7 linked regions of the Coturnix japonica genome follow. The protein of the gene in region 3 purifies or fractionates together with the protein of the main gene of each other region. This does not show direct contact. Links are inferred from orthologs where the notes say so. Each region holds a gene or a part of one and is shown on either strand. Other genes may lie near its edges. The genes, in order: EIF3L, EIF4B, EIF3B, EIF3D, EIF3I, EIF5 and EIF4E.

Region 1 (3,661 bases), on a different chromosome or scaffold from region 3:
TTTGCCTGGAAGAATCCAAGGTGGCCAGAGAGCTGTGAGAACTAGCACTGAGGTTCACGATATTTACAAGCTTTTAACAACTCAAATACCCTCAGGGATTTTTCCAGAGAAACAACCCCATTACATTATGGGCCAGGACTTGGGCAAAACTTGTGCTGAAATAAAGCAGCCCCCAGTAAGGGCACCTTATCAGATGATCCAAGTTAATGTTAGCTGAGTGCTTAAAAAATAACCTCCCCCTTCCTTTAAAAACACCTTGATTCATTTGGAAACATTTCTATTTCTCAACAGCTAAAAAGAAAGTAAAAAGAAGGGGGAGAAATCAGAGATGCAACCTTCTAGAAAGGCAACTACCGCTCAGGTTTACTCAATGTGGAACAACAGCTAGAAGGAATACCTGGCAGCTGTTACTATATGCTGTGGAACAGCTCATTTTCTCTGTTAACCAGTCCCACAGCCTTCCCTGTTTGCTGCATCCAGTATGTAGGACTAGTCTCCATCTACCTGCAACAGCTTTAGCCGAAGACAGCACAAGCCAACAGCAGCTGCCTGTATTTTGTGATGCAATTATGTTCTCATACAAAGTAGGGGGGGGGGGGAGAGGAAAAAGCGTATCAGTATCTAAATGCTCACCAGGAAAATTCCACTCTTTTATTAGATGTCTTGTTCTTCGCAGAATGGTTTGAGCCGAATGAGTCATCTTATTTAAAGTACAAAAACCTTTTGAGCCACAGGAGATTCCAGAAATGCCAGAACCCTGAGCCTCCCTCCCTCACAGTAAGGAGAATAATCTCCCCCCACCCATTCCTCTGCTCAGGCTGATTGCTGCATCCACGGAATTTTTAGGGTCTCTGGCCCATCTTCTTCAAGGTTCGATTCAGCTGGAATTAGAAGAAAGCAAAACAGTCAGAAAACACACTGATTGGCACACACTACTGTTCCCTTCAGCAGCCCTAATCCAGCATCTCTTCTCCTTTCTCAGCAACCCATTGACAAAAATGCTCTCATGCTGGAGCAGGCAGCATGTGAATCACAAGGGGAATTAGCCAAATTCCCTCCTCCCCTCCAAAAGGACAGCAGAGGAATTAGGGAGAAGTTGCAATGTTCTAACGACGGTACACTAATAGAGAAACCTTCAGCCATCCCCTTGATTCAGGATTTTGCTGCCAAGGCTTCCAACCCACAGAAGCACCTGCTGGGAGAGCAGAGCATTGGCAGCATGTCACCTCCTGGCTGAATGCAATAATCATCCATGCTCCAGAAATCTAAGGCTGCTTTCTAGGCCCTTGGTTATGGGGATATAGACACGCTTTCATTGCACTACTGAGAACTGCCGCAATTATCTAGCGACAAGGGAGTCAGCAACTTCAGAAAGTAAAACCCTCCTCCTCCTTTACAATGAGTTTCAACTGGATGAACACTTCTGACACGCACACAAAAAAAAAACCAACATTCCTCATAAGTGAGCAGCTGCTGCTCAGACCACCTGCCCTTACCCAGTGCCATGCAAAGCTGAGGCACTTTGTCCCAGCAAGGCATAGTACAGCTGTCACACACAGGCATGTTTTCTCCCAGCCATGCGTGGCTCAAAGTCTTTCCCACTTTTCCTACAGAACTATACAGCTGTTCTGCCCAGGCCTCACCTCTTCAAACTTGTGGATCTGGCGGATGAAGAAGTCCCCATAGCGTCGAGCAACCTTTGTGTCTGCAATGTGGATCATGTCCTGGGGAAGGAAGAGCATGAGGTCAGGAAAAGGACTGTGCTACCAGGGGACAGCAAGCACTGCCAAACAGGAGGAGCAACAAAAGGGGCTTCACTCCAGCCCTAGTTCAGCACTGCACACACGCCTGACCTGCACTAGACCTACAGCAAGTATTCAGTTTTCTGTGGGATGCCTTTTGTTTACCTGAGACAGATCCCAAACTCACACTGTATTTATTTCCCACATTCTTTCACTCTACCTATTCCAGCTCTCTGTGCAACAGTTTGACAGTCCCAATCCTAATTCATGCTCTGCTTCCCTCTACCAGCAGCTAAGAGTGGTGCAAACTACTAGGAGTGCTAGGCTGCAGTGCAAAGTCAGTTTGGTTCAGGTACACAAGGAAAACAAAGCACAAATGAGACCTTGCAGGTACAGCTCTGCAACAAGGAGCAATCTGTTTCTCTTATTTGACAGGCAGCAAAAACCTAATAGCTACCACTGGTTTCTTTGACAAATGAATTCTCAGAAGATACTTCTCACTGTGTTGAGCTCCAAGGGCAGGTTGGTGACATGATCATACCTGCACCACTGCTCATCCACTGGCACTTCTATTAATCAGGGCTACAGCTTCATTGTAGGCAGAGAAGTCCTTCACATGGCACAGTAATGTTTCCCACAGATTCAATTATAAGCTGGTGCTGCTTCTTCCAGAATTTCTGGGGTGAAGGAATTTCCTTGTTAGCAAGGAACAGATACCAACCTTGTCAATATAGAAGTCAACTTCAGAGGCAGACTGGAACTCTCCATCCAGGGCAGATATGCCGCTGGTCCATACCAGGTTCTTCATCTTGTGCTTGAAGACAAGCAGCTGGATGCGAAACTCCTGCTCTGTAAGGTCCAAGAAGCCAGCAAGCTTGGCCACGGGCATCGTGGTATAGAGCTTCAGGAAGCTACGGATGGTGGAGAGCTGAGCCTGCTGCTGAACCTCATCAGCAAAGACTTTGAGCTGTTGCAGGAAAGGCTCCTTGTGATAGTTGGGGTGCACGTTGTCATAGTTGGGCACCACAGGGGAGAGGAACTTGGGGCAAGCATAACTGAAGAGCTCCTCATAGACCTGAGCATCACCCTTCTGCATGCGCAGCATCTTATCCCCGTATTTCTCTCGCAGCTGCAGGTGGATGCTCTCATCAATGCGCATAGGGTACATGGTGAGGGCGATGGCAAGGAGGGCGTGCATCTGCTCGTTCTGCTTGTTAATCTGGGACAGAGAGGACAGCCTGTTAGTTTAGCAATGTGCTCAGGACTTACAGTGCGAGAGAAAGCTGCATTTTTCAGAGATGGACCCTTCCTTCATCCTGACAACTGAAGGTCCTGATGCTCAAGGGGGGACAGCGCAAAGAAACAGACAGAATCTGGATAGCCAGAAACAGGTTTGATTGCTTTGGTGCAAGAAAGTGCGGAGGAGCAGGCATAGGGAAGGAACACAGTTTAAGACACACTGTTGAAACAGATCAGTAAGAGGCCAGTGCAGAAAAAAAATGAAAAGGAAGATTCATACGAGTTCAGTCTTCAAAAGCTGTGTAGCTAAACCTTAAACACTACATTATTGAAGTGTCACGGAATGATTTGGTTATGCGAGGGAATTAGAAATGAATCATAAGGATGACAAGGAGACAGCAGCAGCAGAGGGTAAACAAAGCAAAACAATAAACACCAGAGACAGCTTAACTAAAAAGAGACGTGAGCTTTGTTTTACCCATAATAAGTTTAAATAATCTGTGAATGACTGCATGACAATGGAAATATATCTGATAATGGAAGTACGCTGAGATAGGAATGCGACTGAGATGTAAGAATCTTTGGCCAGAGTATCATTTCAGCTGATACCCATTAGCAACAATGCCCACAGGGAAAATGCAAGCGGAGCAGGGACAAGTGCATGGTGAGCAACTAAAAGA
Region 2 (4,701 bases), on a different chromosome or scaffold from region 3:
TCAGAAGCAAAACCATGGGGTTGTCTGTGAGCCTGTTGGCCCCATTTAATCCATCTGGTAGAACCCAAAGCCATCAGATGGTTCTATGATCTGTAAGGACCCTTCCAACTCAATCATCCTATGGTTTGATAATCTCTCAGGATGTTTCCATCCCAACCATCCCATGATTCTATGATCTTCAAGGACCCCACTGTGCTGTGCCCCCCATGCAACTCACATTGAGGCCCCGGAAGAAGTCCTTGATGGATTCCTCAGTGACATCGTAGGGCAGGTTGCCCAGGAAGGCCGTGTAGGGCGGGCACTTGGGCAGGCGGCTGCGGTCAATGTTGGGCTCGCGTGCGGCGCGGGGGGCGGTGGGCAGCAGCGAGCGGTCGATCAGCGGTGCCCGGTACACATCATCATCATTGCTGTGCCACGCAGTGGAGACTGTGGGAGAGAATGGGTGGGCTGAAGGAGGTGGGCATGGCGTGGAGGTGGTGGGTTAAAAGAGGTGGCCATGGGATGCAGGGGGTGGCTACTGCGTGGAGGTGGTGGTCATGTGTTGCAGGAGGTGGCCAAGAGCTGCAGGGGAGGGTGGCCAAAACATGGGGGTGGTGGCCATGGGCTAAAGAGGGTGGGCACAATGTGGAGGTGGTGGCCATGGGCTGCTTGGCCAGAGCAAAGAGGTGGTGGCCGTGGGCTAGAGGTGGTGGCCACATCATCTAGATGGTGGTCATGTGTTATACACAGTGGCCACCCCACATAGATGGTGGCCAACTCATGCAGACTGTGACCCCTCAACATGGATGGTAGCCCCCCAAAAACAGACGGTATCTGCCCTAGGCTCGCTCTCACCCCTACCGTCGCCGTCCAGGTCATCGGTCTCATCAGCCCAGCTGACCGGCTTGGGGATGTAGGTGGGTGCACCGCTGCCGCCATCCTCAGCCAGGAAGTCGGTCAGGGTCAGGGTCTTCCCCTTCTTGTTCTTCTTCTTGGCTGCTGCGGGGTGGGGGGGGCGGCGAGATCGGCACCATGGCTCTGTCTGCACCCCATGACCCCCCTCCCATTGGTGGCAATGGGATGTGGGGAGGAGGGTGGGGGTCAAGGGGAGCATGCGGAGCTCCCTGCATTCACAAAGCTGCCTTGAATCAGTGAGGAGCTCTGCCAAAGTGGCACAGGTGGCACCAAATGTGGCGTAGAGCTCATCAGAATTGGCACAGGGGTCACCAGTACTGGCATAGAGGTCAGTAAAACTGGCACAGGGGGCACCAAAATCACACAGAGCTCCTTAGAACTGGCACAGGGGCCACTGAAATCAGCAGAGGAGTGGCCAAAAGTGGCACAGGGGTTGTTAAACCTGGCACAGAGCTCCTCAATATCAGCACAGAGGCAACCAAAATTGGCATAGAGATTGCCAAAAGCACATGAAGATACCCAAAAACATGTTGAGCACCCCAAAATCTCACTTAACTCCCCAAAAACACAAAGGGATCACCAAAACTGATGCAAAGCTCCCCAAAACCAACACGGGGGTCAGCAAAAGCACATGGAGACGTCCAAAAACATGAAGAGCTCCCCAAAATCTCACAGAGCTTCTCCAAACCAGAACATTGATGTGACTGCACAGGGCCAGCATGACAGCACTGCCTCCAAGCACTGCACGGAGCCCAGCAGCACACTCATGCAATGATGGTGCACTGTATGAGTCCTAGCAGTGCACGGGGTGCTGCTGGAGCACTGCATGGGGCCAGCATTGCATAGATATCACTGTGCATTGCACACAACCAGCACCACAGCACTGCCACCGTGCATTGCACAGAGCCAAGCCCTGCACAAACATGATGATGGTGCACTGCATGATGCCCAGATGTCAGTGCATATCACACGTCCAGCACTGCACCATGCACTGCACAGGGCCCAGCACTGCATGGGGTGGTGCTGGAGCACTGCATGAGGCCAGCATTGCACAGATGTCACTGCATATCACACATATCCAGCACTGCAGCGCTGCACCATGCATTGCACAGGGCCCAGCACTGCACAAACATGATGATATCGAGCTGCACAGCTCCCAGCAGTGCATGGGGTGGTGCTGGAGCACTGCATGGGGCCAGCATTGTCCAGATGTCACTGCATATCACACACATTCAGCACTGCAGCTGCACTGCACAGGGCCCAGCACTGCACGGGGTGGTGCTGGAGCACTGCATGATGCCAGCAGTGCCCAGATGTCACTGCATATCACACACAAACATGATGATATTGAGCTGCACAGCTTCCATCACTGCACGGGGTGGTGCTGGAGCACTGCATGGGGCCAGCATTGCACAGATGTCACTGCATATCACACACATTCAGCACTGCACCATGCACTGCACAGGGCCCAGCACTGCGCAAACATGACGATATTGAGCTGTACGGGTCCCAGCACTGCACAGGGTGGTGCTGGAGCACTGCACGATGCCAGCAGTGCCCAGATGTCACTGCATATCACACATAGCCAGCACCACAGCACTGCACAGGTCCCAGCACTGCACAAACGTGATGATATGGAGCTGGACAGGGCCCAGCCCCAGCATGGGGCCGGCATTGCCCAGCTCTCCCCGCCCATTACACACATATAACACACCGCATCGCTCCGTGTTCCCGTTCCACGCTCCCAACCCCACACGTGGACCCCCCCCTCCGCCCAGCTCCGCGCATGCGCAGTCCCACGCCCTGCCCTGCCCCCCCCCCCAATGGGCGCTGTGTGTCTATGTGGGGTGTGGGGGGGGCAAGGCCCGAAGGCCGCTCCCGGCCGTGAAGGCCCCGCAGAGCCGCATTGCCGCCCCCGTAACGCAGCCAACTGCCCGGCAGACCCAGGCTCGAGGCAGAGGTGGGGTCGCGGAGTGGGGAAGGGTCGCTCTGGGGTGGGTGTGGGGTGGGCGAGGGGCGATGTGGGGCCGGAGCCACCGCGCGGCGCTCACCTGAGGCCGCCATCTTGGCAAGAGGCAGAGAGAGGGCGAAAGGCCCGGATGGAGCCGTCACGTGATCTCCGGAGCGACGCCCACTTCCGGCAGGGCGGGGGGGAGACGCACACGGGAGCGCGCATTGCCGCGGGAGCGCGCACGTGGGGGGGGCACCGGGATGAGCGCTCCCCCTCCATCCATCCCTCCTTCTTCCCTCTCTCCTTCCATCCCTCCATTTCTTCCTCCTTCTCTCCCTCCATCTATCCCTCCCTCTCCCTCCTCCTCCTCATTCCCTCCCTTCTCTCTCTATTCCTCCTTCCCTCCATTCTTCCCTCCTTTCCTCTCTCCTTCCCTCCCTCCATCCTTCTCACCCCCCTCCATCCCTTCCCCCTTCTTTCCCTCTCCATCTCTCCCTTCTCCCTCCTTCCATCTCTCCCTCCCTCTCACCATTCCTCCCTTCTTCCCTCTCTCCCCACCTCACCCTCCCTCCTTTTCTCCTTTCCTCCATCCCTCCATCCACCTCTCCCTCCCTCTTGCCATCCCTCCATTCTTTCCTCTCAATCTCCCTCCCTCCATCCCTCCATCCCTCCCTCCATCCATCCCTCCCTCCATCCATCCATCCATCCATCCATCCATCCATCCATCCATCCATCCATCCATCCATCCCTCCCTCCATCCCTCCCTCCATCCATCCCCCTCTCCATCCATCCCCACTTCTGTTCCACCATCTCTCTCTCCCTCCCTCTCCCACCCCTGTGCCTCAGTTTCCCATTCACACACACTGAGCCCCATCTCTTTCACTTTGCTCCTTTATTTGTAAGGCAGGAGGGGGCACCACGCCGTCCCCATTCAGTAGCTGCGCACTTTGACTTCTTTGCTCTCGGACACCACTTTGCCATCCACCGTCCTCTGGGTGCTGCGCTGCGTGGTCACTGTCCCCTCCGACCCCAGAGCATCCTGCAGGCTGTGGAGCAGCGGGTGTCCCCATGGTCACACACCCCTTTATGTCACCCACCTTTATGTTACTCACCCTATGTCCACCCTGTTACCCACCCGTGTCACCCACCCCTGTGTCACTCAGCCCCACGCTACCCTACCCCGCTGTAACCCCAAGGAACTTGGAGGGGACATCAGGGTTGGGATGCTTGGCCACTTGGGTGCCACCACTATCCCTGTCCCCACTGGGTGTCACTGCTGTCCCTATAGGATCCCTATGGGGTGCCACTGCTGTCCCTTTGCTGTCCCTGTAAGCCATGGTCCTGCATATCCCAACACTGGGGCTCATCTCATTGAATGCCAGCACTGCCCCTTTGCTGTCCCCAAACATCCCAAAGGATGGGACCTGCACATCCCAACACTTGGTCTCACCCCACCGAATGCCACCACTGTCCCCTCTCTGTCCCTAAAGGACTACAAAGGGGTTCACCCCACTGTGTGCCATCACTGTCCCTTGTCTGTTCCTATAGGGTGACAGAGATTAGAATATGGACTTCCCAGCCCTGGGGCTCAACTCTGATGGATGCCACCATTGTCCCCTCACTGTCCCCTGTCCATCCCTATAGGGCCACAGAGATCCCACCCAGATGCCCCACAGTCCCACAGTGGTCCCCCTTCGGTGTCACCCCCCCAATGTCCCACCTGAACCCCTCTCCTCCCTCCAGCAGTGCACGGTACGTGGCAATCTCAGCCTCCAATTTGCTCTTGGCGTCCTGCAGCGCGAGGTGCTCCCGGTTCTGACGTTGCAGTTCTGCCCTTGCCTGTGCCAGCTCCTCCT
Region 3 (4,352 bases):
GAAGAAGGAAGACAGAAGAGAGGAAGGGAAGGGAATAGGAAAGGAAAGAAGGAAGCAAAGGAAGATAAGGAAGAAGGGGACAGGAAGGAAGAAAGGAAGGAAGGAAAGGAGGAAGAAGAAAAGGAAGAAGGAAGAGGAGGGATAGGGATGGATGGGATGGAGGAGGAGGAGGAGGAGAGAGGGGAGAGGAGGACGGAGGAGGAGGGAGGAGGAAAGGGACGGGAGGGGAAGGTAGGAAGAGGGGAATGGAGGGGAAGATGGAGAAAGGAAGAAGAAGAAGAAAGGAAGGAAGGAAGGAAGGAAGGAAGGAAGGAAGGAAGGAAGGAAGGAAGGAAGGAAGGAAGGAAGGATTAAAATGTGCTGTAAAGTAAGAGAAAGTTCAAACAGATGACAGGGAAGAAAGACCCAGCATTCAAATTTGCTGATAGCTTGTAAACAGAAAGAAAGGTCATATAGAAATCTGTCTATCCCAGCAATGCAGGCAACTGTGAGGAGCTGCAAAAGCCGAGTCACAAAAGGACAAGCCGTATAATGGTGAGGATGCAGCTGGTGCTGTGGGTTGCAGCACAGCATGTCCTCCTATCTGGATAAAAAACGTGCTAGTAAGCAGGACAGGCAGCAGCTCTTCCTTTACTTCCTACTTGCTGCTGAAACCCAGCAAGTCACAGCCCGGCCCAGTGCTGTCACACAGCGGGGCCAGTCATCATTTCCATTCATAAACGCGGCTTCAAGAGGGATCCGACGCTCACAGCGCTCGGATGGAGCTCGGGTGGCACCTTGTGGCTGCCCGATAAATCACAAAACGAGCTTTTCCGAGCGGCTTCTGATTAAATCCTCAATAACTGCTTTTTCCCTCCAAAGCCATCGCTTAAACCTGACGGCATCAAAGAAAAGCCCTGTGTTCTCTGTTTGTGGATGTATCACCGCACACACTCGGACGTATCTTTGCATCGGGATCAAAGTGTCCTTGGTTTAATGGTTTAATGGACACAGAGCTCAGCTCACTGAGCCGGCGATGTGTTGGCAGGGCCGGGCCGGGCCCAGCATCACCGCCCCTCCATCACGAGCTGTGGTAGCGCCCGCCATCGCCCCGCCGCCTTTGGACGGGCCCACAGCGGTAGATCCGCGGGGGGGAAGGCGACAAGATTCGCTGTTTCCTCCTGCCCGGTGCAGGACGTTTGATGGCCTGAAGTGCCGGCACCGCACGGAGGGTTCGGTCGCCGCCCGCCCGGTTGAGCACAGAGACACGATCCGCTTTTGGCCTCCCGAGAAATGGTTCGGTCCAACCCCACCTCAGCGGACGGGCAGGAGCCGCCATGTTGGGCTGAACCATAAAGCAGTGCAGCAGGGGGAGCCGCAGCCGCGAGGGCTCGGAAAGGACGGACGGCGCTGCTGGCCGAGCAGGAGGGGTGAGCGGTGAAGGAGGCGGCGATCGCTCTGGGGAAGAGCAGGGAGAAAGAAGCGGCGGGTGGAAGCTCCATCGGGCAGCGCTGCTCTAACCCGGCCCCCCCCTCCCGTTGGTAGCGGCGGCTCGCGGGGCCTGGCGCACATGGCCCGGCGGTAGGAGCCTCCCCACCCCTCCCCCGCTCCTTTTCCCGTCGCTCTCGAGCTGGGAACGCGCGGCCGGTGGGGCCTCGTACCGACCCCATGCAGGGCACCGAGGACAGCCCCGCGCCGCCCGGCGCACAGGACCCGGCCGAGGAACCCGAGCGGGCCGACGGAGCGCCGACAGAGCCGCCGCCTCAGCAGCAACTGAAGGAGGAGGAGGAAGGGGAGAAAGAAGGGCCGGAGGAACAGGGCGGCTCTGAGGGGCCCCCTGAGCCGCCACCCGCCGCCTCGGAGCCCCCCGCCGAGCCCCAGCCGCTTCAGCCGCCCTCCCCTCAGTCGGCGTCCGGCCGGGAGAGCCCCTCGCAGGCCGGGCCCGAGGCCGAGCCGCCGTCGGAGGAGGCCAAGAGCGAGTCCCAGGCCGAGGCCGAGCCGCCAACCGAGCCCTGCGAGGACGGGGAGGCCGCGCCCGCCGAGCCCGAGGACGAGCTTTCGTTCAGCGATCCCGAGGGATTCGTGGACGACATCAGCGACGAAGGTTTGTGCGGGGCCGGCTCGGGGCGGGCTGGGCTGGGCCGGGGCGCTGCGGGAACGTGGGGAGGCCTCGGCGTGTCCGTGCGGTTGGTGCCGTCAGCGCTGCCCTCCTGAAACGGGGCGATGAGCTGCGGGTGTGGAGCAGCTCGGGGTCTGTGAGGAAAAGCTGGATACTGAGTGTCATACAATGACCCAGCCGTCGTTTGGCCCCATAAGGCGTTATGGCAGCAGCTGTCTTTGGTGCTTCAGTATTTCTACTGTTTCGGACAACTCTTTCAAGATAAACCGTGTCAATTCTTGAACAGCAAATCCATTTGTCTGTTGTGCCAGTTCTTACTCTGACGTAAATGCTGCTGTAGGTTCTGTAATGGTTACACGTATCAGAGCTGGAAAAATGCCTCTTAAAGCATGTACTGCTTCCTGAGTCAGCAGGTGGTTTGAATTGGTGGCGGAATACAAGTGGTAATTGTGCTTTCTTGTGTTCCATTCCTATGTTTAGCTTAATAAATAAGTGGAGAAGTATTTTGAATTAAGAAAGTGTGTTATTCTTAGTAGTGTATATGGCACTTTGAGCACGTGTATCTTAGAGACACTACCAAAAGTGTCTGCAGGTTTATCACTGGATTCTTGTCTAGTGAAGTGTTTGCTTTGGATGCTTTCTCTACATCGGGGATTATCACATTCATGTCAGTGTTTAGATAGAACCCAGAACATTTCCTGTCTTTTTTTCTGTTCTGTTCTTTAGGATTAATTTGGTTGACTCTTCATCTGTATGAATAATACAATGTTAGTGGCTGAATTACAGCGTTTAACTTTAGTCACTCCTGCTGGTCTGGTTTTCTATCTGCCTGTTCTACTTCTTGAGCTGCCTTATTCCTTTTCCTTTACCCTGATAACTCCACAGGACAATCAATTCCAGGCCATCAGCATCACTGATTCAAGGTTATTTCCATATTCCCACATTTATGATAAGAGTTACGTGTTCAGGAACAATTCTGAACCAGTCTGGCTTTAAGATTGGATCATCTCAGGTGTTAGTTTGACTTATGTTGGTTTTTTTTTCCCAGAATGGTGTTGGCACAGCAGAACAGCTGTTCCACCTTCCATAGAAGGAATGTGTCAGATCATCGCCCAGGTGCCATGAAGCTTTAGTTCAGATAATGAGAGAGGTCCTTAAAATTCTGCCAGCTGAAGATAGCCGTGCACCCACCACACCCCTCTTTTCTGGCCTGTGGGAATAGAGCTGGCTGAACCAGCCGCTGCCCTTTGAAGGTTTCTTTGTTGGTAGTTTTGCATTTAAGGTAGAGGAGATACACAGTGTAGGTATGTGTTTAACCTGTTAGAGTTCTGATTTAGGATAGAATGTCCTCTACTTCCATGTTAAGCTAAATAAGCATTCCTTTCTTTTATAGCCTTTTGTGGGAACTGGCTATGAAAAAGAGACTCTCAGAGCTTCAGGATTATCGTTCTCTTTTTCCCATAAGATTTTGTGGAAATAACCTGGTTCCTTAGAGGACATGTTTCCATATTACATGCAAGAAGAACTAAAGATATAAAGATTCTATAATTAAAAAATATTATTTTTCTATAATATCAGGTTTTGAAATTCCTTTTTTCAGTCCTTAGAGTTTTTGTAGATGCTTCCCTGCCCATCTGTTAGCTCTCAGGCCAGAGGTTACCTGTCAATGGCTTCAGTGTATGTGTGTTGTTAGCTAGCTGGGTAATGGCAAGATATCCTAATATACTCTAAGGTGTTGTATGTGCTTAGAAGTTAACTTATTTGCAGCTTCTTATTTCCTTTCTTCTGAGTCTTTGGCTCATACTGGGTGAACTTTCATCTTTGTAGAAAGAAGTTGAGGGGAAAGCAACCCAAATGTGTTTAAATTCTATGTTACCCGCGGGGTTAAGTTTGTGGATACAAAATAATTAAATGGAATTGTCTTGAGATACAGCTTAGAGTAAGGTATGCAGAAAATTCCACAGGTAAACTGTGTCTAGAAGCCTGCTGCTGTTTTTGTTGCTCCTAATTTTGTGTGTGACATAGGGCTGTACTGTGTGCCTTTCAACTGCTGTAATCTTGGTGTGATAGGAAAACCACAACTGCTGGGTTACAGTCATTCTTAATGTTCTCCCTTCTTTTCCTGTATGATTTCAATTATGCTGCAAGATTTTGGCAGTTTTACTCTGGTGAAAAGTTTGCAGCTGACAACACAGGGACTGAACAAACCGTCCCACCAGCAAGTACTGAATGAACGTGTAGAATGGTAGGCAAG
Region 4 (3,009 bases), on a different chromosome or scaffold from region 3:
TGGCTTTTCACCTATTTGTCATTGTAGGGATCGTTTGCGCCTCCAAAAGAAGTTTCAGAAGCAGTTTGGAGTGAGGCAGAAATGGGACCAGAAGTCACAGGTAAATTAGCCAGCTTCCTGACCCTGGTGATGGCTTAGTTTGTCTGTATGTGCTGATGTCTGTATGTCCTCGTGCACAAATCCTGATGTGCTATGTGTGTTTTCTCCCTTTACCCTTTTCACCTCTGGCCGCGCAGCAGAAGCCTCGTGATTCCTCTGTGGAAGTTCGCAGTGACTGGGAGGTGAAAGAAGAGATGGATTTCCCTCGACTGATGAAGATGCGCTACCTGGAAGTGTCAGAACCACAGGACATGTAAGTTCCTAAAACAGTTTCCTGAATAGACAGCACAGGATAGCAGGAAAGCAAGGGGTCTCTTGGCTTGGTCCCAGTGTCCCCAGTGAAGTAAGCAAAGCCAGGAGTGGTAGAACACCCAACCATTCCCTTAGTCCTTTGTGGTTTGTCAGTGGAGGTGTTTATGTGACCAAGATGATCTGTCCTTTCTCTCTGTAGAGAGTGCTGTGGAGCTCTAGAATACTATGATAAAGCCTTTGACCGCATTACAACAAGGAATGAGAAGCTGCTGAGGAGCATTAAGCGCATCTTCCATACAGTCACTACTACTGATGACCCAGTTATCCGAAAGGTATGTTCACTGGTTTCCCAAATCCAAGAGCGTGCTTTTCATTGCATGCTGTGCTTTGAGAACTGTCACAGTCAGACCAAAGACAAACAGGAAAAATCTACATCTCTCAGCTTACAAAGGGGAAACTATTACCTTGTTATTTTCCTTGGACCTAAGGTAAGCTGGGACAGGGTAAAACTGGGAGTACTGAGCAATGAAAGGCAAACAAACGAGTACTTGGACAGTGCTGGAAAAGGAACTTCAGTGTTGGAAAGCTGCTTCTAGAGTTTTCTGCTTTTGTAGATGAGGAAGGCTCAGGGACTGCTCCTTATGACTCTGTCAGTAAGGAACCAAGTCCTTTCACAGTAGATTTCCATTTTGTAGTAGATTTCTTTTTGCTTGTCTGAGAGCAAGGGTGAGCCTGGATTACTAGGTAGTACTCCACACTTGGCATAGCTGTCAACGGTGTACCCAGCAGTCTGTCTTTCTCAGTATGGAAGAAGAAATTCACAATCTGGTTTGCTAGCACTTCTGATCTTGGCTGGGAAAGGAAAGGTATGTCTGTAAGTGCTGCTGAAATATGGTGTTTTCTGTATCCGTAGCTGGCCAAGACTCAAGGGAATGTGTTTGCCACAGATGCTATCCTGGCCACACTGATGAGTTGCACTCGCTCTGTGTATTCCTGGGACATCATTGTCCAGAGAGTTGGATCCAAGCTTTTCTTTGACAAGAGGGACAATTCAGACTTTGGTGAGAAAAACTCTTGAATTAAAATTTGTCTCATTTTTCTTTATGCTTCTCTGGTGGTGGTTGTTTGTTGTTGTTTTTTTAATGTATTCTGTGTCTCAGTGCCAAGACCGAGACACCTGGAGCAAACTGATGGCTGCAATATGTTGCTAACTGTGAGAGTACTTTCAATGCTGATCTGCCTCAGCATGTGTGGTAGAGATTCACTGAAGCCGATACAGATTCTCCTCAAGTGTAACAGCATGTGACTGGTTTTGTTCTCAGATCTACTGACAGTGAGTGAAACAGCTAATGAACCACCACAGGAAGAGGGCAACTCCTTTAATTCTCCACGCAACCTTGCCATGGAAGCAACTTACATCAACCATAACTTCTCCCAGCAGTGTCTGAGGATGGTAAGGCCGAGTAGTCCTGGGCAGTAAGGTCTGAATTTTGGAGAGTCTGGAAATGAGACTTTATTCAGACTTGCTTAATGCTGCTGCTCAGCACAAAAGTGTTTAAATTGGTAAAAGTAGTTTGCACTGATGTTACCTCAGCTTGAAACAGGTGGGATTCCTTATGTTGAGCAAAGTGACTCTTATAAAATGATTTTCACCTTTATTTTACAAAGAGGAAATCCCACTCCTGTTGGTAAAGTGGGCAGGCTTCTGATTACATTTATTAAAGCTGGTGTGCTAAGAGGAGTAATGATCACAGGGAAGTGGTTACCATGGAAAGGAGAATTTGCATCTGTTGTCTTAAATCTTTTAGTGTCTTCTCTGTGTAAGGGAAGTCAGCTGTTGTTGCTGTAAGAGAATATTCACCCAAGAGGAGAGCTCTAAGTTTTGTTTTGTTCTTTTGCTTGTTTGTTTTACTAATAAGCCTTTCTGTTTCCTTACACAGGGAAAGGAGAAATACAAGTTTCCCAACCCAAACCCCTTTGTGGAGGATGACATGGATAAGAACGAAGTAGCTTCTGTTGCCTACAGGTATGTTGATGCATCTCTTATTCCAAGCTTTGACAAGGGTGCAGGATATCAGCGTGGTTTGCAGGGTAAAACAATCCAAACCAGTGAACAGATAAAGGGTGAAAGGATTTTGCTGAGTACTTGGAAAGATCTGGCAAAGAACCAGGATCAACAATGACCTGGACTGTGTGTGTGCAGGTACCGAAGGTGGAAGCTGGGAGATGACATAGATCTCATTGTCCGCTGCGAGCATGATGGAGTGATGACAGGGGCTAACGGCGAAGTGTCATTCATCAACATCAAAACTCTGAACGAATGGGATTCCAGGGTGAGGAAGAACAAGATCCCAAAGCTAGCTCTAACTGCTTCACTGCTGCCTGACATGCCAGGTATAGCAGGCAAGATGAGACAAACATCTAGTGGTGTCCCCTGAGTTATTACCTTCTGTCAAAGATGCAGAGCTTTGGTGGACTAGCAGTGCTATTAAGCCTTACCCAGGCATGAGGTAGTTGGTTTGAACCCTGTTCTTGTTCCCAGGTGCTCTGTGCAGTAGCTGATCTTTATCTGTGCTGCCCTCATTAACCGTCCCTAGCAGACTTCCTCTCCTAGCCATTGCTACTGCATTTCTCCCTTTCCAGTGCAGGGGCTCTCTC
Region 5 (4,524 bases), on a different chromosome or scaffold from region 3:
AAACTAGTAAGAGATGGAATCCAAAAGCTAATAAAAACAACAGCCAACATGCACAACTGGGCATCAGTGACTCCCCACATCCAGTGTGATGGGGGGCAAAAGGGGTGGAATGGCAGAATTCAGGAAGGAGCAGGCTCCATCCCCACTGCAGTTCAGAGTGAATCCAGCCATATCCTAATCAGAACAGACCACGTTTGGTGGGGACGTGCTGGAGACCCCCAGAGATTCTCACCTCTTCCCATCAGGGTGAAAAGCAACACTATTTATCGGACCAAAATGACCCTTCACTCTGCCAAACTCTTCTTCAAAAGCCAAGTGGAAGAATCTGGGAGAAGAAAGAGGCAGGTTAGGGATGTCATCAGGGTTTCCTCAGAGAAGCTCTGCAATTCTAGTAACTCTCCAAATGCTGCCAATAGCAAGACGCTCTGGGAGCAGGAGAGAACTCCAAGTGCAGACTCAGCCCTGCCAGAGAAGAGCACCAACCTTGCCTCAAATTTGCCAATCCTGGTGGAGGTCGTGGTCACATCCATGGCCTCCTGCCCACCACCGAGCACAACCTGCATAGGAAGAAAGTCACAACACTGCAGTGCTGCTTACACCATATGTGGAACAACAGCCAGGGTAGGAGGGAGCCCAGCCTTGGGGAAGCCTCCCACTAACCCAGCACAGCCCATGACAGCAGTCAAGTCCCCTGGCCCTGTCCCACAGTGATTCTTTAGCTCAGGCTGAACTGGTGACACTGTGCCTTCCAGCTGCCTGAGACAATGCAGGAGCTGCACTAAGACCGTTAGTATGCGTGGGCTCATGCTTACGTGATCAAAAATGGGGGAGAGTGCAGCAGAGTTCACCGGTCGCTCTGTCCGGAATGTCTTCAGATGTTCCAGCGTTGTGCAGTCAAATAGCTAAAATGCAAAAGGAAGAGAGTGGCAGTCCAAGTATCTCATGCAAACCCCAGCTGCCAGTCCTCACATGAGCAGGTGTTACTTCTAAAGTCACTCCTGGGCATCCAAATGTCAAAGCTATTGCTCCAGAATCCCAAATATCAGCCCTCCCACTAAGCTTTGGCTCTACACCTGCTCAAATTCCCAAAGAGAAAACCACTGAGGCAGCCATGACTTTGAGCAGGGGTCCTGCAAGCGGATGTCAGCAATGCACCGCAGTCCCCCCAGGAGGCCTCACCTTGGCAGTGTTATCCTTGGAGGCAGTGATGAACATGGTCATGTCCCTGGAGGTCTGAATATCATTGATTTGCTTGGTGTGCTCCTTGATGTTTGAAAGCTGCTCCCCTGACTGAAGGGTAAACGAGGCAGTTTAAGTGAACTGGCAAGGAAAGTGTACAAACAACTTCTCTGCTAAAACCGACTTTAGATGTTGCTGTCAGCAGAAAGGTAGGCATATATATGTTCAGCTTTGCTGAAGAAAGCCACATACTTTAACTATCCTTCCTCAAGGCCACTGGTTTGAGCCAAAAAAACCCACATTCTGCCACATGATCACAACAGGAACGTTGCAACATCCTCTCCCAAGAGTTGCTGCCTGAGGGTGATGCTCCTCCTTATCACACTGACCTTGGCACTGAACTGGTTCAGCTCCCCACTCTCGTGTCCTGCGATGATGAATTCTCCCAAAGGGCCCCACACAGCACTAGTGATTTTAGAGTCGCTGCAGGGGATTTTCATGTAAGGCTCGTTGTTCTCTGCAGGAAGGAAGGATGGAGACACACAGACTGAGTGGCACCAGCTCTTGGCAGCCAACGCTTCCCCTTATTCCCAGTTGCAGGCACAGGCCCGGATTCCTCACCGATTTGGCTGGGGTCACGCAGGTCAAAGAAGCTCACAAAACACTGATAACCCATCTGCTTGTCCGTGGAAAACATGATGATGTTTCCTCCAAAGTCAAAGCCACACGTCCTCACTGCCGAGCTGGTCTTCACCAGAGCGAGCTGCTTTCCTGAACACGGAGCAGAAACCATCACTTCACTTGGTCTTGCATTGCAAACATTAATGAAAGCAATCAAACAGAAGTGCAGTCATAGAAAGAACAGGAGCATCAGAGCTGACAGACAGGTTGGGTGACTGGAAAGCACTAAATGTGCTTGGTGAGCAAAATGAATAAGTGCCCATTGAAAATAAGGCAAATACACAAACAGCCAAGAAAGGACTTGGGCTCTTTCAGGGGCAAACAGGCACATGTTGCACAGATCCCAGAACAGGACAGAGCTGAGTCAGATCCAGCCACGTGGGAGAGAAGAGCCTTTACCTGTTTCACAGTCCCAGAGCCGACAGCTGTTATCTGCAGAGCCAGTGAGCACATGTCGGGTGTCCCCTTGGTCAGCAGTTAAGGGATATCAGCACGTTTGCAGCCCCAAAAATCATTAGATACCCAGGGAGTATTTACACACAAGATTAAGAAGCTGCGTTACATTGAGAAATTACAGGACTTGGGAAACTTCCCAAGGAGCACAAATAACCAAGAGATGGCACAAGGGACAATTAAACACAGCAGCTGAATGGAGCCATCCGTGCTGAATCACTGCAAGGAACGAGAGCACAAACTGGTTGTGCACCCAAAGGATACAGTCAGCATCCACACACCACACGGCTCCTGTGTGCCCATTGTAGGTGCCCAGCCGTTCTCCATTCACCGAGTACCAAACGTTGACGATCTAAAAGAAGATAAAAAGGCTTGAAGAGCCGCTCTGACCAATTACCTGAGCTCGTTAATTACCCACCTTTATCCCTCCCCCCCCATCGCACACAGCCCGGTTTCCCGGTGCCCCCGGTTCACTCACGGGATCCTTGGCCACAGTGAACAGCAGGTCTCCCTCTCGGTTGTACTTGATCTGTGTGATGGATCGCTCGTGGCCCTGCAGCAGGATCGGCTTCTGCACGCGGCAATGAGGGAAGGCGCCATTTAACGCTATGCCAAGCGAGGCCGAGGCCCCGGCTGGGGCTCAGGCTGCCACCACCATCAGCCCAGGAGCCCCGCCGACCCCAGGACCCAGCCGGGACCCGCATCAGCCCGGCCCGGCCCACAACCCGACTCACCATGGCGGACACGGCGCTGCCGGAACCGGAGCGAGAGAGAAGAGGCGTGGAGTATCACGTCCGGGTCACGGGGCGCTATGGCGGCCGCCGGTGAGCTTCCGGGTTTGGGGGACGGGCCTCGGGTGGATCCCGGAGGGGCTGAGGGGACGGGGTGGGCTGTGTGAGGGGGCTGCGGGCTGATGGCGGCCGGGCCAACAGCCCCGGGGCTGAGCTGATGTTGTGCTGCAGGGCAGGCCGCCGTGCTGGTGCTGGTGTCGGTTCTATGGGGCAGCACCGGGCCGTTCCTACGGACGGGAGCGGCGGGGCTGTTGGACGTGCAGCGCCGGGGGCTCCTACGGCAGCTGCTGGCCGAGATCAGGTTCCTGGGCTGCAACTACAAGGTGAGCACAGCCGGAATCATGGGGTGTATGGGACGGGCCTTCATGCTCCTTCCTGCACTCAGCACCTCCCATCTATCAGCAAAATGATTTGTACTCTATAACATTTCATCTACCCACCTGCAGTCCTGCTCTTCTTATGGAGAACTTAGACACTTGTAGAAATTAACCCTCATATTTCACATTCAGACCTGCCTGCCTTCTGCAGACATGGCATCCAAGGCTTGCACTGCTTGCTGCAGGCATTGCAATGCTTTTCCATGCAGTGACCTGTCTTCTTTCCGCAGTACATGGTGCCATTCCTGCTGAACCAATGTGGATCGCTCCTCTTCTACCTCACCTTGGCATCTGCAGGTCAGCTCTCACTGCTTTGTCCAGTGGGTTGATCAGGGTTTGGGGAGGAGCTGTATTACTGATTCATTTGGTGATCTGGCTGAACATCAAGTATCATCATCATAGTATCACAGTCTGGTGTGGGTTGGAAGGGACCTTAGAGATCATCGAGTCCAACCCCCGGGATTCGAGCCTCCTGTGTAGCAGAGCGGCACTTCTACCACTTGTGCCACAGGGGGATTCAAGTAGATGTCTTTGAATGAAGGACGCATCCATTTCAAACCGTGTTACAATTGTTCAATTTCAGAGCTGTCCCTGGCAGTGCCGCTCTGTAACTCCCTGGCTCTGATAGTCACGCTGGTGACTGGAAGGATTTTGGGAGAGGATATTGGTGGTAAAAGTAAGTTACGCTTAAAACATTTGGCACGTTGTATTCTGCATCTATTTGTTGTTTTAATGTTGTGTGCTCCCTTCTGGTAACTGCTTAGGCAGTAGTTTGTGCAAGGAAGCTGAAAAGGAAGTGAAACTGACTTGTAAGGGGGTAGAGCTAGTGAATTTAAATTGGCTGGAACTGGCTGTTTTAAGCTAGCAGAACTTGTAGGCCTGAGCCTTCACCTAATGATGTATTTAACCATAAGAGAAATGTCCATACACTAACATTATCCTGCTTAAGAAGTTGGGAAATAACAGGAAACTTGAAAACTGAATAGTAGCAATAAGTACCAGTTTGGCTCACATCCATTTAGGCCATCTTTTTTCCTGACTGA
Region 6 (4,427 bases), on a different chromosome or scaffold from region 3:
TATTTTTTTTCCTAACAAAACTTGAAAAAAAAATACTTGCACTTCAAATGAAAGTGAAAGCATTAAATGAAGTTAAAACCACACTGCACAGAGTACTTACACGTTGGAGGCCGATTAAGCGCCTTTGCAACGTCAACCATGTTGACTATAACCGTCTTTATTCCATTTCCTTTGCCCTCAACCTTTAAAAAACAAAACCAAGTCTTAAGTTAGAAAGACCACAGCAGCCCAACCCAGCATGTATTTCCCATCTGACTACACTTAAGTTCTGTTTTGAATGTTCTACTTCAGAGGCATTAATGTACAATTAGTTCAGACAGAAAGATGCAGACATCTGCTCCCTATGATTGGCTGGGGTTGATATCATTACCTCCATTCCTTTATATAGAAAGCAACCAATGTGAAACCCTATCTACTTATCACTAATAGCTATTAAGTTACCTTGGCAATCAGACGGGGCATTTTGTAGCGATAGAACTGATCTGAAACACTGCGGTTGACGTTGACAGACATTTTGCCTTATTAGTAGCTTTATCAATAAGATGAAGAGATCTTTGATTGCAGTTTTTTGGTATCTTCTGTCTGGAGAAGACGGGATGACATAAACGACTGCAAGAGTTCTCGGTCTCTGACATGAAAAAATTTTCGCCACTGAGGCTGTAAGGTTCTTGCTTGTATGCTATGTTTCCCCAATACAGGTACCAGTGGCTGCGCAACAGCTCTGCAAACATCAACAGACAGAAAAGCAATAAGTTCATTGTAACATACACCAATAAAATCTTGCAATGCAGCTATACAAGGAACTATATTTATGGGTAGGGAAACTAAGTTCATTATTATATACCATTCTTCAGCCTGTGAAGCTGAAGACAATAGCCCTGAACTGCACTGCTGAATAGCTTTTCCTCACCTACACTACAGAACTTTAAGTTCTCTTCTACCTTACTCCCTAAAAAACAATGGGTAAATGAACAGTATTTTCTGTACAATTAACTCGCAAGACAGCTGTGATCAGTAAGAAAAGGAACACTGGCCGATTAATGAAGTCCAAGGGCTCTTACACTAAGGTCATGTGGTACGGTCCACGCTAAAGTGGAAAGGGAAGTGGGAGAAGAACACCAGACTCAATTTCTGCATCATCACATGAACCTATTAAATAAACTGCGGATTGTCAGAAAGCTGAGAAATATCCCTAAGTTGAAGCAGCAGCAATCCACAGTCCAATAGTACTATTACGTGGCTTACCAGTTTTCTGGCTCGGAGAGGAAAATTAGGTGATACTCCCTCTCACTTACAGGTTCTCATAGCAGCTTCTGTGGAGTTTTGACTTAATAATAAGCCTGATAAATCCTGACATAAACTGCTTCACTATAGAAAGCCTAGCAGCGCAGAGAGGTACAGAGCAGTGCAACAGCTTCTCCAGTTCATTTTTTTTCTCGGGGGAAGGAGGATGAATCCTGTTATTAAAGTTGCCTTAAGCAGTATTTACATATTTAAATAAACATGCGCCCCTGTAATCAGATCTAAGGTTACGTAAGCCACAACTGGTTGACTAGGCTGGCAGCCCAGCCTGCAGCGTGCTCACTTTGACACGTCACCGTGTTATCGTTAATGACACACGAGTGTTGACACATTAAAACAGACTCCTCCATGTTCCTGTGTAAGAGTGCCATTCTGTGCTCTGTTCAGGTTTACAAATCCTTCCACGAGGAGCAAACAGATTATGTGTACACTATGTATTATGTATTAGTCCCAACACAGCTTTACCCTTCTTCAGCACAAGCCGTCCTTCCTCAGAGTGGCTAAAAAAGAGCCCCCATGTGACCCGACCATGTGCCTGAGAAGCGCTGAGGAAGCAGTATGAGGAAGCAGTACCTCTGTGAGCTCGCAGAGCTAACGTGTCGCTTCCCCTCCTTCCAGCTCACGGCTTCTATCTGCGGGCTGCAGCTCCCTCCCCTGCTCCCTGGGACTCCTCCTCCCAAGCAAGCAACCCTCCCCCCCCCCAATATGCCGCACACAGAGTGGGGGAAAAAAAAAAAGAAGAGGGAGGGCAGAGCGCTCAGCAACACTCCCCGCCCCAATCGGGCCCGTGATGAGTCATAAATGCAGCAATTAAGCACTGACTCAGCCCCGGAATAGACCGGGGGGAACCTCCAACTGCGCATGCGTTCCCCAGCTCTAAAGTGGGGGGGGGGGGGATGCTCCTGTTGCTCTTCTCCCCCCATTTCCCCCCATTCCCCCCCGCTGTGGATCATTGTCCCCCTCCCCCCTCAGCCTGTATCTGCGCCACAGCTCCAACCCCCACAACCGCCCACAGCGCGGGGAGGCGCGGCCCGGCCGCCGCCATCTTGTCTCGTCGCATGGCGCAGGGGGGGGGGGGAAATATCGAGTGAAAAATAAAAAATAACGCTAAACAGCCACCGGGAACATCAAACCAACGATGGTAAGAGGTTAATGTGTCAACTCTTATCTCCTTCTCCTTCCTGGCGGGTCCCTGGTACGGCTCCTCACAGCCGCCCGTCCACCAACGGCCGCCCCAGCCCAGCCCAGCCCGCTCGCCCCTTCCCAAGGCCCAACCACCCGCTCCACCTCCACCCCCACACTCACCGTTTTCGTCCAATAAAGACATAAACCCAACGCTGCTCGCCCTGGGCTGCGATGAAGCCGAGTGTGCGATGAGAACGAGGCCGTGCGGCGCTTATAATCCGGCCGGGGGGAGGAGGCGGAGGCGGACGCCGCAGCCTCCGTGTCCGGGCGTCCTGTGACGGGCTTTATGAGCAGGGACAGCAATGCCGGACAATCTGAGGAGGAGACACAACCAGGGGCATCGTCAGCGCCGGATCCTGAGAGGAAAGGGAGGAGGAGGAGGAGGAAGGGGGAGAAGAGGGAAGGGGGGGGAGGGAGCTGCGGCGGCGGGCGCGCAGCTCGGGCAGAAGGGGGCGGTTGATGGGACCCCAGCAATGGCCGCCCCGTACTCACCTCTAGAATGTTCTCGCTCTGACTGAACAACGCCAAAGCTGGGATCAATCAGCCAGCGGCACGCCCCGCCTCCCCAGTCTTTCCATTGGCTCGCCGCTCGCCCTGGGATGAATCTATTGGCTCAGGGCCCTCCGTTCCTCTCTTTTATTGGTCAAAGCCGCTATCGATCAATCCACCCCTCGTCTCGCTTCCCTCCCCCCCCCACCCCCCCAGTGCCCCAAAGGACATCGCGTCTACAGCGGCCGGGTCTCGCGAGACTGCGCGGGATGGCGCTGCGGGGAGCGGCGGGCGCGGGGCTCAGTCAGGGCGGGGGGTCGGGGCTGAGGGGGGTGGCCGCTTCGCTCTCCTGCTGCTGAGGGGCCAACCCTGCCCTCAGCCCCTCTGCTGGGACCCTACCTGGCCTTGTGTATACCTCGAAGCTATGAGCTTTTGGGGCCTTCCCCTTTATTATTTTCCAGTCTTCTGCCTTCCCATACAATGAGAATTACGTATTTTGGATGGTTCCAAACATTCAAGGGGCAAAAAGCTTCTGAAAACTCAATCATTAAGGTTGGAAAAGGCCACTAAGATCATCTAAATCAGCCCTGCCCCATCACCTACTAAGTGTCCTTCACAACCAACCCTCCATCAGCTCTTAGTGCTTTAAGGACTGCCAGGCAGCGCCACAAGGCCCCAGTTCCTATGGCTGTGTCTTACAGCAGATATACAGCTGAGGAATATGATTTAGCCTGGAAGTATTGGTGATGGTTGGACTAGATGATCTTCTTTTCCAAACTTGATAATTCTGTGATTCTGTGATATTCTTCACCATCTTCCTACAAGACCCTCCTACATCATCTGCATCATCACTGCTGCCCTACTTATAGGTTTCCTTTCAGCCCATGCGATAGCACATCCTTGTAGGCAGGATGATGTCCTGTAAAACACTTTGTAAGCCTGGTTTGGACTTGGAGCTACTGAAAAATGTAACAGGTTATTTTAAATGCTTCCTTGAGAAACACACAGCAGCGCCTCTTTAAACATGAGAAAGAGGGTTAGTGCGAAACAAGGGAATAACTCTCCCAAGGATATGAGGTTTGGCAGTTATCACGAGGGGAAAAAATCATCATAAAGATGTGGGAGGCAAGAAAAGCACAGCAGGAACTCCTTAGCTGTAAAAATATGCAGCGTGCATAACTTACTAAATGCCTCCTTTCTGTGGCTTTACTGACATGCTACTACACCTCTGAGGTTAATAAATTGCAAGTGTTAAAGCATATTGCTGCCAACACCACTTTATTGAACAGCAGAAGGGAAACGAGCCCCTGGAACTGGTGCTGCTTGACACCATGAATAACTGAGCAGTTATGATTAGTAGCGTAAAGAGGGATTTCTACAATTTGATGGTGCATAATCTGACATCAAGTTAAGAGTTACCTTTTCAGATGGTATCCGTACTGCCAAAAGCA
Region 7 (3,921 bases), on a different chromosome or scaffold from region 3:
CAGCCATCAGCATAGGTTACAGCAAAGGTGATGCTGTATAAAAAAATTGCTAGAAAACTGTATGCACCATACTCTTTTCCAAACCAGCAAAATGTTACTGCATACAATGCAAATGTAAAACAGAGTAATTTCCTGCAGGTACAGAAATGCAACTTTTCTGAATACTGTGGATCAACAAATGTTTTTTTGTAATAGTAATGTTTCTACCAAGCTATTACAGAGTGGGCCAGGAAAACATTTATGACTTGGGGTTTGGGGGGGGGTGGGGGGGTTGTACTAAAATTCTGATCGGTAATGGTTACTTCAGCCAAAATAGAAAAAAAAATGAACACAGAAGTACAAGACAAAGGCGAATTAGACTTCTCACAAATCTTAGCAACATTTAGATGGAAATCAAATTTAAATGTAGTCCACTCTGCTTTTGAAGAGGCTTTGGTTCAGCTCCCAAATCTCGATTGCTTGACGCAGTCTCCTATGAAAGAATACTCAGAAGGTGTCTTCTTAAACAACAAACCTATTTTTAGTGGTGGAGCCGCTCTTAGTAGCTGTGTCTGCATGGGACTGATAACCAATCACTATCTTTGGAGGAAGTCCTAATCTTTCCTTGTATACTCTCCTGGAGAAGAGAAACAGAAGAATAACTTAAACAATGCTCTTCCAAACGATCTTTAATGGAGGCATCTTAGCTGCTAACAACATATTAAACTGCACTCAACCTTACATCAAACCTAGCAGATATTTTCCATCAGCAGATGTGTACCACAGTTGGTTGTTTGTTGTTAGTCATCTTTCAGGTCTCAACAAGATCATACTGTAATTAGACACTGTAAGTATGACCTCACCAGATTCAGAAGTCCAAGTGAAGCACATGCTAAGAGCTATCCTGAAAGTCACTATGCCTGACAGTTGAATTTTGGCTTAAGACTGATTTGCTGAACTGGAAACAACCTGTGTAAAGTACTGTAAATATTCAAGAGGCCTTCAGTGACTGAATGAAACATTAGGTAACTTTGAAACATTATTATCACAGCAAAAAGAATCCACAGGTTTTAGCAATACGTGTTAAATAGCAGACTAAATGTATTCTCCTTAACAAAGATAGCCATTGTCTTTTACCAAAACAAAGACCAGGACACACCATTTTATGTGTCAGATCCATGAAATCCAGAATTTGGTTTGTGTGTAAATAGACAAAATGAAAACCAGCTCTAATCAAATACAAGAACATGCTGGTGAGCTTCATCTCCCATTCCTAAGCATCCTTTTCCCCAAGACCAAGCTTACCAATGCTCTCTATTGTCAGTAACCAGCCAGCCTTACAAACTGGCATGCTGCAACAGAATTTACACCACTTACAGAAACTACTTACAATACCTCATTATGAAACTAAAAGCTCCTGCCAAGATCTGTGTTGAACTCTTGATTATTTCTATGCTATAGCAAATAGAGTACAGATCAATGAATTTGCTGATGCAAGCCCTCAAAAACTAAACAGTAAAGCAAACAACTTCATTGTGAGTAACTTGAACTTGGGATACAGCTCTGCTCAGGTTACATTTGCCAAAAGCTCAGTTTTTAAATTAAGTAGCTTTAAATGCATTGTTACACTTCACATTTGTTTGAGAAACAAATCACATTACTTACCCTATATGCGTAACAGCATCCCTGTTTTCACATTCAGTTGTCCATATTGCTATTTTATCACCTTTAGTTCTAACATTAACAACAGCACCACATACATCATCGCTGTAGTCATCAAATGACTCCCCAATAAGGCACAGCAGCTACAAAATAAACATTAAAAATTAAAGTAGCAGCTCCAAGGCAGAATCCTGCTCCACAGAACACTAAGTGCATGAAGAACTTTGAGGAATGTTATGTCTCATAGCCACTAGCCATACAGCAACAGTATTCTGTTGTGTCTTATCAAAGTTCCAAATGTTACAAGTGATCCTAAGCTTAGTTGGCAGTAGCATCTTCCTCAAGTTTCTCTTCTGCTTTGACAGATGATCACTTATGTCTCCCTCTCAGTCCTCAATCCAAATAGGTGCAACAATTAAAGGAACTCATTAGTCTTTATGAAGTACATAGACAAATGGAAAACTTTAGTCTACATTCATAAACTGGAAAGAACCTGGGGAAAAACTATTTGAGCAATGCATCATCTGTCTAAGATCTGACTTCGATTCTGAAATGCATCAGTTCAAATAATACAGGATTGCCTTGCCAGATTTCTAACGGCAAAGTTTGGAAGTGGCAAAAATGATAATGTGATGTGAAGTTTCTAAGGAGTTATGTCACTATCTGAAAGTGATGCTTCAAGTCTTCAACTTTCAACTTGCGCAACACAAATTTAAATATTCAAAACTGATAAGTTCTTGTAGTTATTGTTCTCCACACTGAAGTACTCCTCTCTAAATGGTCATTTCTTTGACTTCACTAGCACATTACATTTTAAACATACTGGTCATTATCATTAACAAAATCAGAGTTTTCATAGAATCATAAACTACATGGACTACGCATTTCCAATCCACATGAAATGGCTATCAGGAGTCAGAAGGACATTCACATATGTTTAAATTGAATGGTCAAATGTGCACATCAAGAGTTTCGTCTACTCACGTAAAACCATATTTTGCCCACTATTATAATGTCTAATCTTCCTTTCCTCAAATCACAGTTACAGTGACCAGTATCAACTTAAATGCTTTTGTATTTTGGACACCCTAACCTTGATTCCAAAGGTCACTCTTCTCTTTTATGAGGAATAATTTCTTCTCAAAAAAGCAAAGAAAAGCTACTTCGATTAGTTTAGTTTTGAAGAAATTGCTTTGCATTATATTGCATATAATAGCTGTCCCTAAAAAACACAGATTGTATCTTTTAGAATACTTAATTGGTTCCTAGGCAGTACAATATGTATTTTTTCTACAATATATCTACTGCAACCCACAGTATCTCTAAAAGTACACTTAATGTTTAGGTAACAGCAATGGGAAAAAAGCATTTTTCATGGTATACAAGAAGATTTTGCTATTCCTTCCTCACTCCTACATTAGGACAAGCATAGAAAGAAGAAAAGACAATTCTGAAACTTGCTTCAGCAAGATCAAAACCTCGCAACTATTCACCTGTAAGAGAATTTGTGAACAAATAATTACCTGTAAGCAGTTAAAATAAACTTAGAGACCAAGTATTACTCTGATAGTTGTGCAAATATGCTGAGAACATTCTCTGGGAAAAGGTATATAAATAACAAACAGAGATCAGGAAAATTCTCTAAGAACATAATAGCACGCAACTACATCAACCACCATTTTGAAAGATCGTGTTTCAAATGCAGCCTGTCAATAAATTGTAGGAATAATATGTCGGCATGAAACTGTAAGTCCAAACTGGCACACAGGAATAACAGAGCAGTTAAAATGCTAAATGCAAGTTTCTTCAGCTGCAACTTTTAAGGCCACATTACTTACTGTCTCTAGCCAGAAGCGATCAAGGTCACTTCGTCTCTGCTGTTTGGTTAGTGTAATTAGCCATCGGCCTCCTCGCTTGTTTTTTTCATCTTCCCACATAGGTTCAATCCCATCCTGGAAAGAACAGTCAGAAGTTAAATCAGACTTCACTTATACTTTTCCTTGGGTATAACCAAAGGACCAACAATAACTGAAACAGCACCAATAAGTATAGTTTGAGATACATACTTGTCTAGTATGAAAATACTAGAAAGTATTTTCTTTCTAGTAATACCTCTGGACCAACAGTAAAGTTCCACAACTGCTTAAAAACCACACCTTTCCTAGTGTTTTTTTTAAGCTGTCGTTTCCACGAAAGATTGTCAGCCCAAGCTGAAGCTTTAGCTACACAGTAGAGCATGAAATATATTGCAAAGTCAATCATCCACCTTGCCCTCTCTGA

Evidence for each region.
Region 1: the proteins of EIF3B (region 3) and EIF3L purify together in Homo sapiens (affinity purification with mass spectrometry; 8 studies listed by BioGRID and IntAct, counting the BioPlex papers as one, with this or other methods). This does not show direct contact. The link is inferred for Coturnix japonica from reciprocal best matches to the Homo sapiens genes EIF3B and EIF3L.
Region 2: the proteins of EIF3B (region 3) and EIF4B purify together in Homo sapiens (affinity purification with mass spectrometry; 3 studies listed by BioGRID and IntAct, with this or other methods). This does not show direct contact. The link is inferred for Coturnix japonica from reciprocal best matches to the Homo sapiens genes EIF3B and EIF4B.
Region 4: the proteins of EIF3B (region 3) and EIF3D purify together in Homo sapiens (affinity purification with mass spectrometry; 10 studies listed by BioGRID and IntAct, with this or other methods). This does not show direct contact. The link is inferred for Coturnix japonica from reciprocal best matches to the Homo sapiens genes EIF3B and EIF3D.
Region 5: the proteins of EIF3B (region 3) and EIF3I purify together in Homo sapiens (affinity purification with mass spectrometry; 12 studies listed by BioGRID and IntAct, counting the BioPlex papers as one, with this or other methods). This does not show direct contact. The link is inferred for Coturnix japonica from reciprocal best matches to the Homo sapiens genes EIF3B and EIF3I.
Region 6: the proteins of EIF3B (region 3) and EIF5 fractionate together in Homo sapiens (co-fractionation; 3 studies listed by BioGRID and IntAct, with this or other methods). This does not show direct contact. The link is inferred for Coturnix japonica from reciprocal best matches to the Homo sapiens genes EIF3B and EIF5.
Region 7: the proteins of EIF3B (region 3) and EIF4E purify together in Homo sapiens (affinity purification with western blotting; 5 studies listed by BioGRID and IntAct, with this or other methods). This does not show direct contact. The link is inferred for Coturnix japonica from reciprocal best matches to the Homo sapiens genes EIF3B and EIF4E.

What each region holds. Positions count from the first base shown.
Region 1 is NC_029516.1:46,623,940-46,627,600, forward strand, and holds the end of EIF3L (eukaryotic translation initiation factor 3 subunit L), read right to left. Parts: intron 2,962-3,661; coding exon 2,464-2,961; intron 1,725-2,463; coding exon 1,644-1,724; intron 882-1,643; coding exon 843-881; 3' UTR 623-842; downstream 1-622. UniProt on the Homo sapiens protein: Component of the eukaryotic translation initiation factor 3 (eIF-3) complex, which is required for several steps in the initiation of protein synthesis.
Region 2 is NC_029544.1:1,103,921-1,108,621, forward strand, and holds the start of EIF4B (eukaryotic translation initiation factor 4B), read right to left. Parts: upstream 3,045-4,701; 5' UTR 2,959-3,044; coding exon 2,946-2,958; intron 979-2,945; coding exon 835-978; intron 427-834; coding exon 218-426; intron 1-217. Other genes in the region: KRT18 (keratin, type I cytoskeletal 18), read right to left, coding at 3,777-3,891, 4,566-4,701. UniProt on the Homo sapiens protein: Required for the binding of mRNA to ribosomes. Functions in close association with EIF4-F and EIF4-A. Binds near the 5'-terminal cap of mRNA in presence of EIF-4F and ATP.
Region 3 is NC_029529.1:3,185,042-3,189,393, forward strand, and holds the start of EIF3B (eukaryotic translation initiation factor 3 subunit B), read left to right. Parts: upstream 1-1,348; 5' UTR 1,349-1,647; coding exon 1,648-2,083; intron 2,084-4,352.
Region 4 is NC_029516.1:47,227,647-47,230,655, forward strand, and holds part of EIF3D (eukaryotic translation initiation factor 3 subunit D), read left to right. Parts: intron 1-27; coding exon 28-100; intron 101-236; coding exon 237-352; intron 353-550; coding exon 551-683; intron 684-1,264; coding exon 1,265-1,412; intron 1,413-1,673; coding exon 1,674-1,804; intron 1,805-2,291; coding exon 2,292-2,377; intron 2,378-2,554; coding exon 2,555-2,684; intron 2,685-3,009. UniProt on the Homo sapiens protein: mRNA cap-binding component of the eukaryotic translation initiation factor 3 (eIF-3) complex, a complex required for several steps in the initiation of protein synthesis of a specialized repertoire of mRNAs.
Region 5 is NC_029538.1:4,527,490-4,532,013, forward strand, and holds the start of EIF3I (eukaryotic translation initiation factor 3 subunit I), read right to left. Parts: upstream 3,166-4,524; 5' UTR 3,138-3,165; coding exon of another isoform or gene 3,125-3,137; 5' UTR 3,051-3,124; coding exon 3,048-3,050; exon of another isoform or gene 3,044-3,047; intron 2,885-3,043; coding exon 2,792-2,884; intron 2,666-2,791; coding exon 2,578-2,665; intron 2,326-2,577; coding exon 2,260-2,325; intron 1,951-2,259; coding exon 1,801-1,950; intron 1,697-1,800; coding exon 1,569-1,696; intron 1,291-1,568; coding exon 1,180-1,290; intron 903-1,179; coding exon 813-902; intron 558-812; coding exon 484-557; intron 326-483; coding exon 233-325; intron 1-232. Other genes in the region: TMEM234 (transmembrane protein 234), read left to right, coding at 3,125-3,137, 3,276-3,427, 3,712-3,778, 4,065-4,157. UniProt on the Homo sapiens protein: Component of the eukaryotic translation initiation factor 3 (eIF-3) complex, which is required for several steps in the initiation of protein synthesis.
Region 6 is NC_029520.1:45,677,942-45,682,368, reverse strand, and holds the start of EIF5 (eukaryotic translation initiation factor 5), read right to left. Parts: upstream 3,107-4,427; 5' UTR 2,980-3,106; intron 2,802-2,979; 5' UTR 2,608-2,801; intron 722-2,607; 5' UTR 514-721; coding exon 442-513; intron 183-441; coding exon 101-182; intron 1-100.
Region 7 is NC_029519.1:53,872,315-53,876,235, forward strand, and holds part of EIF4E (eukaryotic translation initiation factor 4E), read right to left. Parts: intron 3,594-3,921; coding exon 3,480-3,593; intron 1,785-3,479; coding exon 1,645-1,784; intron 617-1,644; coding exon 502-616; 3' UTR 1-501. UniProt on the Homo sapiens protein: Acts in the cytoplasm to initiate and regulate protein synthesis and is required in the nucleus for export of a subset of mRNAs from the nucleus to the cytoplasm which promotes processes such as RNA capping, processing and splicing.